Astyanax mexicanus: one gene and its partner. The protein of the gene in region 2 purifies or fractionates together with the protein of the main gene of each other region. This does not show direct contact. Links are inferred from orthologs where the notes say so. Each region holds a gene or a part of one and is shown on either strand. Other genes may lie near its edges.

Evidence for each region. Proteins that work in one complex are often made in the same cells at the same time.
Region 1: the proteins of p4ha2 (region 2) and col1a1a purify together in Homo sapiens (co-immunoprecipitation; 3 studies listed by BioGRID and IntAct, counting the BioPlex papers as one, with this or other methods). This does not show direct contact. The link is inferred for Astyanax mexicanus from reciprocal best matches to the Homo sapiens genes P4HA2 and COL1A1.

What each region holds. Positions count from the first base shown.
Region 1 is NC_064426.1:32,892,825-32,899,910, reverse strand, and holds the start of col1a1a (collagen, type I, alpha 1a), read right to left. Parts: upstream 3,199-7,086; 5' UTR 3,067-3,198; coding exon 2,985-3,066; intron 1,029-2,984; coding exon 837-1,028; intron 56-836; coding exon 33-55; intron 1-32. UniProt on the Homo sapiens protein: Type I collagen is a member of group I collagen (fibrillar forming collagen).
Region 2 is NC_064424.1:892,320-899,405, forward strand, and holds the start of p4ha2 (prolyl 4-hydroxylase subunit alpha-2), read right to left. Parts: upstream 3,857-7,086; 5' UTR 3,695-3,856; intron 628-3,694; exon of another isoform or gene 534-627; intron 1-533. UniProt on the Homo sapiens protein: Catalyzes the post-translational formation of 4-hydroxyproline in -Xaa-Pro-Gly- sequences in collagens and other proteins.

The sequences.
Region 1 (7,086 bases), on a different chromosome or scaffold from region 2:
ATAATAATAATAATAATAATAAAAACAATTACCTCAGCTCTGGGCTCTTGGTATTCTACAAAATAAAAGAAAAAGTGAAAAAAGAAAAATTAAAATCATACAAAAAGGACTGATGAGTAAATGATAAATAAGTGTAAAATAGCATGAAAGTAATTCTAAATGATATACAAAGCCATGCTAAGCCTCATAAATAACAGCATGCTGCATGTCACATGACCTTTTGACCTGTATCTGTCCCCTGGATCACTAAGTGTGGTAAAAAGCCAAGGGGTCGAGGCTAGGGGGTGTCAGGTCTCATCCACGAGGCAGGATGGAGGGAGGGTTTCATTCATTCATTCTAGCAGAGCCAGGGGCAGGCACACCACACCTGATCAGAAGTTCAGTAGTTTGACTGAAAGCAACTGATTCAACCAGTGCAAACAAGTGAGTGCTCAGGCGTGCTGCAGCTTGATCTGAATGAAAGGCCTGCAGCCAGCCATTCCAGCTGTTCCTTGTGGATAAGACTGGACACCCAAAGTGTACTTTTCAGTGGGGGACTTTTTAGGGGTTCTTCAATTAGAATCTCTGGAGGAACCCCTTATATTAAGGTGCTTTGAGGATAAATGTTTCCTGAAGGTTCCTTGAAGCACTGTTTCAAACTGAAGAACCCCTAAAAGCTCTACAAAGAACCTGAGGCAGCATTTAATTAATCCAGAGAGGGGAAAAAGGAAGGGATCTCCACAAAACGAAGGCCAGACAAATCTGAAATCCGCTTGGAAAAACCGCTGTTGTAATTTTCCCAATTAACTTCCCACGATACAGGCGGGTGGGCGGGGCTTTAGAGCGGGCTTCCGTACCGTCATCAGGGCAGACAGGGCAGCACTCATCTGGGGGGATGATCGGATTGGCGCAGTCGCTGGTGTCCTCGCAGATCACCTCGTCGCACATGACCGTGCCGCTGTCGCACACGCAGATCTGGCAGGGCTCCGGTTTCCACACGTCCCGGTCATTGTAGACCTGGCCGTCCAACGTACAGCTGCTGCCTGTGCCTAAGGACACAAATAAAATAAGAAAAACACGTTAAAGCGTGTTACTTAATTATTTTTTTTTGTAATAAGCGTTCGCAAACACATTTAAACAAATGATTTTGATCATTCTTTAATTTATTTTATTATTTCGTTTATTATTGTTTTGTAAGGCAGAAGAATATATACATAGCTGCCTTACATAAACAATCCCAAATGTACATTATAATCATTAAAATAATAATTAAATAAATTAATAATATATCAATACTATCTATAACATGGATATATTTTTTAATTGCACCAAATTCACAATCATTGCTATCACTGCTCATATTGTTTTTATTTTTAATGCAATTATTGGCGATGATAGGCCTGAAATCAAGAATATTATTCTAGCTATTTATAGCCTATATTATTTTTTCGCAAAACAAACAAACAAAAAATAATTTTCAAATAATTTTAATGTAAAAATGTGAAGACTAAATACGGATAGGAAAAAATGTTTCCGCAAAAAAGGTCTAAAAGTATATTTTCTAAAGCGCAGGGTCCACTTTAACTGCTGATTCTTCTGTTGTTTTTTATTTAATTTAATTTTTTTAAGGCACTAACTGTATATTTTATTTTCGTCCTACGCTTGCACACAAATCTCATCATCTGTTTTTTTTTTTATTATTATTGAGCTCAATGCTCCAATCCATTCAAATTCATTCATCAGCGACTTTTAGCCAGATCGGCTATATGTAATGTCATCATTGTGACTCTTGATGGCGCTCTATCTAACAATGCCTTTCCCTTTTGTAAAGCAAGGGGAAAAGGCTCAGGAGGGAAAAGGTCCACGTCTTTCGGGGTTCACTGTATGTCATAAAATAATCGAAACCCGTCGGCTTGGCAGCAACATGCGTTTTCCCTTAGTGGAAAGTCTGCAAAGCCCACATGTGTTTTACATTATCATAAAAACACCAGAGGCGGGGTGGGGGCTCTGCTGAGGCTGCTGCCAAAAAGCAGGCCAGTCCCAAACCTGATCGCTAGGAGGCGCTGCAGGACTGCAATTGCGCTTCTCAAAGCGTTAAGGACAATTGCAGATGTCTGGACGGGTAGCTCTTTTTGTGTGAAGGAATCTGAAGACAAGAAAAAGTTTCTACCATGTTAAACAACTAATGTTAAGTAGTTCCCCCCAAATTCTAAGATAAATAAATAGCTTTTTAACATCACTTTAGTTTTTTTAATGTTCTGATCTCCTTGTTTAGCATGACATAGTCATGGTCCAAAGATGAGCTCATCACTTTTTCCATGGGAGAAAAACCTAAACCTCAAAAGTTCCAACGAGTTACGTGGTGGATGTCGACTTTAGACTAGTAGAACTAAAGACTCCAAACGAGTCGGGTTTTTTTTTAGCTAAATCAGATTTTTTTTGGTAGTTTCTGGTTTAGATCAAACATGTAAACACTTTATTACAAACAATACACAGCTAAACAACACTGTATAAGCTATAAATCCATATGTGCTTTAGCACTTTTACTTTTTTACTGTTTTTTTACCCCTCTGTACATTATTTTGCAGCTGTTGAACTAAAGCATAGCTCCAGGGCATCACTAATGTTAAGCATGGAGAGTAGCTAAAGGAGGGGTGTTGGGAGGGTGGACGAGTCTCTAAGCCTGTGCCAACTTGCCTCCATGCATGCAAGCAAGCAAGCTCTTGAAGACAGACTCTCAACATAGTGATACTCCTAGTGAATCTCCTGCACCTTCAACTTTCAATCACTGAAGTTGCTGTTCTTCCTCCCCTCATGTTTAAAATAGCATAGCATAGAGATAGATACAAGCTTCCCCAGAGCTTGGCATCCCTGGCAACCCCTCACTGCCCTCACTCTGCCCTTTTTTTTTTTGCTTTTCCCCCCAAAGGCAGCCCATCCTACCCAGTCAAAGTCCTAATCAAGAAGAAAAAGAAGCTGGATGTGAAGATAGAGAAGATACTCACGGTCGTCCTCGCCTTGCCCCCTTGCCAAAAGCACTGTTGCACCGAGCAACAGCGCCAGCCGAATATCCACAAAGCTGAACATGTCTAAATATTAGACATGTAGACTCTTTGAGGCGAGGGAAGTTCTTTTTTAGACTCCAATCATACACAGTAGGGTCCGGTCTTCTCTGACTCCAGTCCAGACCCCAGCAGAAACTCCCTACTGCCTAAACGCACTTTTCCCCCACGCTTTTATACTCCAAACTTTTGGGGAGGTGCCGGGCGCTCCACAGAGCTCAGGCATGTTCCCGTTTAACAGGAGAGGAGGAAAAAAAACGGACCCTCCTTCACCAGACGGAGGGGCTGTCTCCAGAACTCGTCTTTTTCTTTTTCTTTTTTTGCTTGCTTCACCCTAGCATCTAAAGAAACTGGGAAACTTGATCTTTTAGAGAGAAAATCTAAGGGGTTAAGCAAACCAAAAAGCCAGCTTTGGTTCAGTTGGATAGAGGAGGCAGGCAGGCCTGAACCTTCTTACCTTCTTACTTTCTTCTCACCTTATTCAACAGAAGCCAAGATGGGATGGAGTGCATTGTTGTTGTTGAATTTCGACACGTTTATTCTTCTTCTGGGCTCTGCTTGCTTGGTATCAGAATATGCATGGTATGGTTTTGTCTATTAGCTGTGGATGTTTATTCATAAATGCATACATGTGATACATTTATGTCACCATATTGAAAGATTTTGAGATTTAATTTAATCAGTTCAATGACATCTCATATATTTGCAATTGTGGGGTTTCTCAGAGGTGACTTAAGTTTAACCCTGGAATACACAACATTAATAAGGAGCAGTTTCTCAAAGAGGGAAATGATTTATTTTGCCCTTATTTTTAATGCACTCTTTCTGCTATAAAGTAAAATGTATTGTTTATAGACTTTTGTTTATTTATTCATTTTTAGCCCAAATCAACTTGGTATAATTTGCTATGTTGGATTTTAACAGTGTGAAGACTTTTTCATAAAAGGTAAATAGAGTCTGTAAATTGACTTCATTTGGAAGTACACATTTATTCATGGGCTTAATTTCCAGGATCCAGCCTATTTATCAGACCAAGATAAATCCCAAATCTATAATAATAAATTGTATACATTTTTAATGTGGAAAAAACTCAGGCATCTAGATATTAGTCTAATATAGTGCATAATGGATTTGGCTTAATAAACATTTACTCTATAATATAAATATTTTGTCTTTACATTTAATGCAATCATTTTTTTTATTTTAATACCACCAAGAATGAAGCACTTTTTCACTCATACGCCCAGACCTTCTTTATTCCCAGTTCACTCCCAGTTTTCTGCACATAAACAGTCTTCATTTCATCAATTGCATGTCTGGGGGACTGACTGTGTGACTAGGCAGTCAGTCGGTCTACGTGGCTCCAAAGCAGAGCTGCTGCTCCCACATTGTAGACATGCATCATCACATGATACCAAAAATCACTAAAATCAGTTTTAAAGTTAGTTATAAACATATAATATATATATATAGTGAATATAGATGTATATAAATGAAGATGCTGCTGACCCATCACTACAGCCACGACGCAATAAACGCGCACGCGCAGTGCTATTATTAAAAAATAAAATAAAACGCGCGCGAGCTCCTTGGCTTCAGCAGCGCTCCATCTCTCTCTCTCTTCCGCAGACACGTCGCATCTGCGCGGCTGGCCAATCACAGCGCTCCTCTCTCCCCCTCATTCTTCACCCCATCCAAGAATCCAAGACGCTTTTTTTCGCTTAAAACAACGCAGATGAAAGCAGCGCGAGCTTCTCTGAGGGAAAACGCCACCTCATCGCCTTCAGGTGCTTCAGGGTCAGTGTGGAGAGGAGAGCTACTGTTCTGCTCACGTTTACTCTAGTCGTTCAGAGACGTTTAGAGAAGGTGTGAGATGTGTAAGAAATCTTTAGATATGGGAGAAAATAATAAGATAAGTTGTTTATCTGAGCAGAAATGTATTAATCTATGTTTAAGTGTTATCTTAACCATTTCCTATTAAAATTCACACGCCTACAGATACAACACAACACATGGTTCATCAAACCATTTAAATTAACTGGCTACTTCATTACTCAGTTCAGTTAATTTATTAAAGTAAATCAGGTTAGCGGCGGTTCACATGGTAATAAGCAACTAAACCCTATATTTGGCAACTGAAATTATTCGTCAGAAAATGACAAAAAAAAAGCATAAAGCAAAACCAGTGAAAAGTGAAAAGACTGAATAAGTCTGCAGAACACTATTGTGGTTTGTAGTTTTGTCTAACAGTGATTTTTTTTAGTGTTAGGTGTTTAATGTGTATTTTTAAAAATCAAGAAATATATACTTTAGTGCTCATTTATGCATTGGTAAAAAGTGTCAAAAATCTAAAAAACTTTTTAAATCTTTCAGTTTTTTTAACATTGTGTCAAAGTGCCATGATGAGTAGACCAAAATAAATGTTCCAAAACAACTTGAAATAAAATCACATACAGCTCTAGAAAAAAACACTTAAAAACAATGAGTTTCTTTGATTTTACCAAACTGAAAACCTCTGAAAATATAATCAAGAGGAAGATGGATGATTACAAGCCATCAAATTATGCTGAACTGCTTGATTTTTTGTACTAGGAGTGGCATAAATTTATCAAAAAGCAGTGTGTAAGATTGGTGGAGGAGAACATGTCAATGTGCATGAAAACTGTGATTAAAAAACCAGGGTTATTCCACCATATTTCAGATTTCCAAACTTTTAAAACTTTATGAATATGAGCTTGTTTCCTTTGCACCTTTTTTATTATTTCAGGATTTTAAGACTTTACATTACTTATGTATTTCAAGTTCAAATTACATTAAAAGGAATAGTTCATTTTCCATTGACCCCAAATCACAAAAACAATCATGTCAAAACATTTTTCTTTTTTTTGTCTGAGACACTGAAACAAAAAGCTTTTACAGTATAAGTTAATGTATTTATCAATCAAAAGATTGCAGGTTGACTTTGATTTCTCTAATTTAATATTTTTTTCCTCTTTTTTTTCAGATGGTAAGTGGAATTGTTTTTAATTAAAAAAAATAAATAAACATATGCTTATCTGTGTGGTTATAGTTGCTTTGAAAATAAGTTAATAAGACCTTGAAGTTTAATATTTTATTATTCTGATTATTATTTATATAAATATTTGTATATTTTAAATGGAGGATGTGGAAGGTGATGAATTATGGCTGTAAGTTGCCTCTGCTACTCTGCTACATATAGACTGCCAGATTGGTTGGCGTGTCTAAAATATTTAATCTATCTTTGACTATCTGTGAATAAATATGTTTTTGGATATAATGGGAGTGCTGTCAGATTTCTTTTATTTTTGGTTCTTTAAGTTGTCATGGTTGTATAGTACCTTCATTGCCTTTAATAAATTAATAGCCCTTCAACCACCACCACCACCCTCTTTTAAAAAATAAAAATGACCTTGTATGGTAAACACTAGACTAATATTTTATACCATTCCGATTTTCTGGATTTTCTTTTGAACCATTGCTCTGAAAAGAGCTGTAATGAAATTGTTAGCAGCAGTACAAAATATGGGCTTACTTTTTTATAAGCATATATGACAAATTCCTTGTTTGCCACCATGTTTTTACTGTAATGCCAAGAACCATCTTTCTGAAAAATTCAGCTAACAACATATATGTGGTCACATTTAAATTAAGGCGGACATGTAATTTGTGGTTGTGTAGTGTAGGATCTGTACATTGGGTTGTAGATGATAAAAATATCTTTCTTTACAAGTTCTTAGGAACTAAATGGGGATTTTCAGAAAATGGTATAAAATTGCTTCAAGGATCAATGAGTTTGAAGGGTCTACACCTCTTTTTAAAGATCCTTTTTAAAGTCTCTTTTTTAGGTGGTTGTTGTTGGGATGTTGGGTAGGGCTTTCTGTAGTATATCTCTATTTACAGCATCAACCATGAAACCATATCGAAGTTTTGTGCAAGTTTTCTGAAGGTGGTTTAATGAGGTTGACTGATGAATGTGACTCATGATTGTGAGAGTGTTATTTTTTGGTGTTAAACAATTTTGAAT
Region 2 (7,086 bases):
GCTAACTGGCGATGCTAACTGTATTTTAGAGCTAAAATTTCCCTGTTTTTAATAAAAGACTGATGTGTTTGTGCTGGTTAAGAGTTGGTGGCTGATGTGATATTATATTATTTCTGTATTATTACTAGAATTTACTCAAATCTTTAGTTATTACCCTCACAACACCAAAATAAAATCTGTCAGCCCAATGCTAGCTAGGCTAACAGACCGCTGGGGAGAGCTAACGGCTAACTGTTGATGCTAACTGTATTTCAGAGATGAATTATTCCCTGTTTATTAATAAAAGGTTGATGTTTTTGTGCTGATTAGATTAATACGTTCTTTTATTGGATATAATATGTGGGTTATGGTTATAGTTTATTCAAGTCTTTAGTTATTACTGTACCCTCACAACACCAGAATGCAGCAGTGGGCCCAATGCTAGCAAGGCTAACAGACTGCTAATGTTAAGGGAGATGACTAACGGCTAACTAGCGATGCTAACTGTATTTTCAAGCTAAATTAATCACTTTTGTAAAGAAGTATTTAGATACTTTTATCTGAGGAGCTGTTTGTTAACTGGTTTCTGAAGATGGAAACTTTGATGAACTCATCCTGTACAACAGAGGAAACTCTCGCTCTTCCCTTCCTTTCCTGGGGCGGTCCTGATGAGTGCCAGTTTCATCATCATAATGTTTATTTTTTTACAGTTTTTGCATTGACTGTACTTGAGGATACTTTCAAAGTTTCTGAAATTCTCCTTTTTTCCGATTTACTGAACTTTTAAGTATTTTTTTTACCTGAGTATTTTTTGTTTCTCATAATCTGGATTAGAACATTATTCAAATATTCACTATTCACTGTATACCTGTAACTCTACCTCTTCACTACTTTACTTTAACTGATGCTGTCAAACACTTTATTAAGAGACAAGAAATTCAAGTAATTAACTCTTGATGAGTTCAGCACAGCTGTTAACTGAAACCTGAATTCCAGGAGACTCTACCTCATTAAACTGACTGAGAAAATCCAGCAGTTAAACAAACAAACATTCTGGTTCAACACTTTTTTGTTTACTAAATAATTTCATATGTTTTTATAGTTTAGATGAGTTTAGTATTAATCTACAATGCAGAACATTGTAGAAAAAAATATATAATATATAATAAACATAAAATATTGAAAAAAGCACTGAATTTAAGTTGTGTACAGACTTTTGACATTGTGCTTTGACGTTGTTCTTTAGATTATGGGGAAAGTATGACGGGAGATAAAACAGGTTCAGGCTGGTGATGTTGAGCAGTGCAGTCTTTTAGAGTTTAGCTCAGCTGGTCTGGATTCAGTGATTATCAGATAATCAGATAAACGCACTGTAGCTTCATCACTTCCTGCTGAACTGTTCAGCTTCTGAAAGCTTCTGGTTAAAGACTTCCAGAATTCATAATAATATTTTAAAAGCCTCGTCATTTTTTCGTGTTTTATCATTAATTTTTAGTTCAGTTTGATTATAGCGCCATCATGTGGAGTAATGAAGCAGTAACTTTAGTAAATCTAAATGGAGGGGGCAAATCTTAGAAAGTTTAGAGCGCTTTAATAAATGTTTCAATAAAAAAACCAAAAACTTTGAAAATGATATTGATAATGTATCGAAAATAAAAACAATGCGATATATCGATATACTGATATATTAGTATTTGAATTCGATGATTTAAAATTACAGTGTTAATGCGATTTTCAAAATGGAATAATCACAGTTTTACATACAGACATTTTATGTTTTTAATCTAAATATCTGAAAACGCTGAAGTTTTTATCCGTCTTACCCTGGTTACTGATGCCTCCCACAGACTAACCCGCACATATTTACTCAGTCTGAGGACTGAGCTTTTACCGAAAACAGTTCCAGCACTTTAAAGCATATATTTATCTAGAAATAAAACCTACAACACTTTATAAAAACTGCAGTGCATCGCTCTCTGGTGAGGATCCGTAATTAACTGTGAAAAACAATAATAATAAAAATCTCTCCTTCAAAGTTTCTTCTATACTATGACTCGCTTAGTGCGTTAATTCTCTATTTTCAGTCACAAACCATTTATCGTTTTTAATCATTTCTTTGCCATGTGTAGTTTGATTATTAGTAGGAGAGGAAAATAATCTATTCTAATCGAAAATTGGATTTTTATCTAACTTTTATTAAATAGCCTCCACCTCCTTCACCCCAGCATTCCCAAATACAACACTTTTAGCTGATACTTCCAAAAGACCTAAAATACTAATGATAGGGTCATAGAGATACCCATGCAAAGAAACCACTATTTCTACACCATTAATAAACTCAAAGTATACTCATAAAACTCATAAGAGCCCTGACATTTAAAACATGTTTCAATAACACTTTAAATGTTTGAAGGGTTAAATGGTTAAAACAGAGCAGCTAAAGAAAAGCTGAAAATACACTTTTAAAAGAAGCTAGTTTAGTTTTATCTCCAGCACTAATCCTAAAGTGCTCCTACATTCTGCAAATAAATAAAATCAGATGAATGAAAACACAGATTCACACTGAGTCCTGTAGTCAGTATGTATCGCTTTAGGAGCTTAATGAGTTAAAGTAAAGTAGAGAGTTCCGTAAGGAATTTTACACAGATTTTAAAGTGTTAAAAGATGTAATGCAAACAAAAATAATGTTTATTTAATGTTCCATCTGCAAAAAGTACTACACCCTCCAGCCAGTCTACACACTGAGTAACTCTACACACACAGTGACTCTCTACAGGATGTTTCTAGAACATCCAAATCTCGGCACAGCCCCAACACAGAGATCTGCACAACACTTCACTACAGTCTGCTTCCATTTAACCCCAACACTTTAACACACTTTACTCACAGTTTACCCACTGACCCTGGATCAGTTTCAACTACTAGATTTGTATCTAATAGTTATATACCTAATAGTTCTATACTAGTTCTGTACCTAACAGTTATATAGTAGCTGTATACCTAATAGTTCTATACCTAATAGTTCTATACTAGTTATATACATAACAGTTATATACTAGTTCTGTACCTAATAGTTCTATACTAGTTATTTGCGTAACACTTATATACTGGTTCTATACCTAACAGTTATGTACTAGTTCTATAGCTAACAGTTATATACTAGTTCTATACATAACGGTCATGTACTAATTATATACATAGCAGTTATATACTAGTTCCTTACGTAACAGTTATATACTGTTTCTATACCTAACAGTTATATACCAGTTCTATACCTAATAGTTCTACACGTAACAGTTCTATACTAGGTCTCTACCTTATAGTTATATACTAGTTCTTTGCGTAACAGTTATTTGCTAGTTATATACCTAAAAGTTATATACTAGTTCTATACCTAACAGCTATATACTAATTATATACATAACAGTTCTATACTAACTAGTTCTTTACGTAACACTTATACACTGGTTCTGTACCTAACAGTTCTATAACAGTTGTATACTAGTTGTATACCTAATAGTTCTGTATCTAATAGTTATATAAACGTTCTATACCTGGTAGTTTTATACCTAACAGATATATACTAGTTCTGTACTAGTTTAAGTTCTGTAAGGTTACTGTAACAGTGATCCGAACCCCCGGAACAGCCCACAAACTCCTGTATCAGAACTCTGCAGCTCCAGAACCCCAGAATATTCACCATACTCACACTTACCCTCTGATCACTGACAGATCCACCTAATCCTGCACTAATCCTCAACTTCTGCTGGATGTTTTCAGCTCGTTTGTTGGGTGTTTGCTGTAAATCCGCAGAGAGAGTGAAGCGTGTTTTGCTGCCACGTCCCGAACCCCTCTATAGCCGCTACTCTCATTACCGTAAACCCGCTAAACAGCGCGCACAGCATTCCAACACCCAGCCTGTAAACCGCTATACACACTATTACACTAATACAATAATACACACTGACAGCTGCTTTACTGCAGGACAAACAGCGACAGAACTGCACTTACTATTTAAAAATAAATAAAATGAACCAAACAATCCCAATAAATACAACAAGTCCAATAAATATACAGCTTAATCTTAGAATAAATAAATACATATAAACACATTACTAAGAAAAAACAAATTACGTTAAATAATTAACAGTAACAAGACATGTGATAACAATAATAATAATAATAATAATAATAATAATCAGTACTCTTTATGTGAATAATAGCTTCATTGTTTTTTTTACTGTAATGACTAAAATATAGCCAAAGCATTACAACAACAAAATTACAATAAAATAAAAGCAACAATAATTTGAAAAATTTCACGTTATAGCACATGTTGGGTGCCAGAAGGAGAAATATATGTGCAGTCACGGGCCACAGACTCAAATAATGAAATATACCACTTATAAAAATATATATTTTTATTACTATTTTCATTTACACACCATTTTACTATCTTTATCTATATTTGACTGTGTTGTGTACACAAATATTTTTCAAACTGATGTTTCGTTTCATAATGTCTCTTAATATTATTATACTTATTATACTTATTATTATTATTATTATTATTATTATTATTATTATTATTATTATTATTATTATTATTATTATTATTATATACTCCTTTATTACAGCAACTGATTCCTGACAAATTAAATATTAACACTTCCCTCTGAAAATTGCTATTAAAAAATAGCAATTTTCCCAATGTGCCTGAAATTTTATGCATTTACTGTCCATTACTGTGTCGTTTCATTGGAGTTATCATTTTTTCCCTAAATCTAAGAAACATTAAAACGGCAGTCTGTATTATTTTGCCTCTTATCTCTTTGGCCCGTTTTCTGTGCTACAACTGAACTCCGCTTTTAGACTCTTTGGCTCGTTTATTCCTCTACAACTGATCATTCTCGCAGCTTTTAGACTCTTTGTCTTGTTTATTCCGCTACAACTGATCATTCTCGCAGCTTTTAGACTCTTTGTCTTGTTTATTCCGCTACAACTGATCATTCTCGCAGCTTTTAGACTCTTTGTCTTGTTTATTCCGCTACAAATGATCATTCTCGCAGCTTTTAGGCTCTTTGTCTTGTTTATTCTGCTACAACTGATCATTCTCGCCGCTTTTAGACTCTTTGTCTCGTTTCTTCCGCTACAACTGATCATTCTCACAGCTTTTAGACCCTTTGTCTTGTTTATTCTGCTAAAACTGATCAATCTCGCCACTTTTAGACTCTTTGTCTTGTTTATTCCGCTACAACTGATCATTCTCGCAGCTTTTAGACTCTTTGTCTTGTTTATTCCGCTACAACTGATCATTCTCGCAGCTTTTAGACTCTTTGTCTTGTTTATTCTGCTACAACTGATCATTCTCGCAGCTTTTAGACTCTTTGTCTTGTTTATTCCGCTACAACTGATCATTCTCGCCGCTTTTAGACTCTTTGGCTCGTTTATTCCTCTACAACTGATCATTCTCGCAGCTTTTAGACTCTTTGTCTTGTTTATTCCGCTACAACTGATCATTCTCGCAGCTTTTAGACTCTTTGTCTTGTTTATTCCGCTACAAATGATCATTCTCGCAGCTTTTAGACTCTTTGTCTTGTTTATTCTGCTACAACTGATCATTCTCGCCGCTTTTAGACTCTTTGTCTCGTTTCTTCCGCTACAACTGATCATTCTCACAGCTTTTAGACCCTTTGTTTTGTTTATTCTGCTAAAACTGATCAATCTCGCCACTTTTAGACTCTTTGTCTTGTTTATTCCGCTACAACTGATCATTCTCGCCGCTTTTAGACTCTTTGTCTTGTTTATTCCGCTACAACTGATCATTCTCGGCGCTTTTAGACTCTTTGTCTTGTTTATTCTGCTACAACTGATCATTCTCGCCGCTTTTAGACTCTTTGTCTCGTTTCTTCCGCTACAACTGATCATTCTCACAGCTTTTAGACCCTTTGTTTTGTTTATTCTGCTAAAACTGATCAATCTCGCCACTTTTAGACTCTTTGTCTTGTTTATTCCGCTACAACTGATCATTCTCGCCGCTTTTAGACTCTTTGTCTTGTTTATTCCGCTACAACTGATCATTCTCGGCGCTTTTAGACTCTTTGTCTTGTTTATTCCACTACAACTGATCGTTCTCACAGCTTTTAGACCCTTTGTCTTGTTTATTCTGCTAAAACTGATCAATCTTGCCACTTTTAGAGTCTTTGCCTTGTTTATTCCGCTACAACTGATCATTCTCGCCGCTTTTAGACTCTTTGGCTCGTTTATTCCTCTACAACTGATCATTCTCGCAGCTTTTAGACTCTTTGTCTTGTTTATTCCGCTACAACTGATCATTCTCGCAGCTTTTAGACTCTTTGTCTTGTTTATTCCGCTACAACTGATCATTCTCGCCGCTTTTAGACTCTTTGTCTTGTTTATTCCGCTATAACTGATCATTCTCGCCGCTTTTAGACTCTTTGTCTCGTTTCTTCCACTACAACTGATCATTCTCACAGCTTTTAGACCCTTTGTCTTGTTTATTCTGCTAAAACTGATCAATCTCGCCACTTTTAGACTCTTTGTCTTGTTTTTTCCGCTACAACTGATCATTCTCGCAGCTTTTAGACTCTTTGTCTTGATTTCAACTCGCTACAACTGAACAATCTTACCGCTTTTAGACTCTTTGGCTCGTTTATTCCGCTACAACTGAACACTCTCGCCGCTTTTAGACTCTTTGGCTCGTTTATTCCGCTACAATTGATCACTTTTGCCACTTTCCACAAAAATAAATGTGGATTAACTCCCCCTTCACACACAAGAAATGAACAAATATTCTTTTCATTTATTTTTTAATCATGTAGAGGCAGCAAAAATAATTTTAGACACCACACATTAACACAGGTTATGTACACTATAGACATTATTACTTTTTACACACTTTTACATGCACCGTTTATAGTATCCTAGAGATGTGTGAATTTGTGGAGTGGATCACATGTCCTGATTAATGACAGCTAAAAACTGAAACACACACACACACACACACACACATATACAGTGGGGAGAACAAGTATTTGATACACTGCTGATTTTTCAGGTTTTCCCACTTGCAAAGCATGTGGAAGA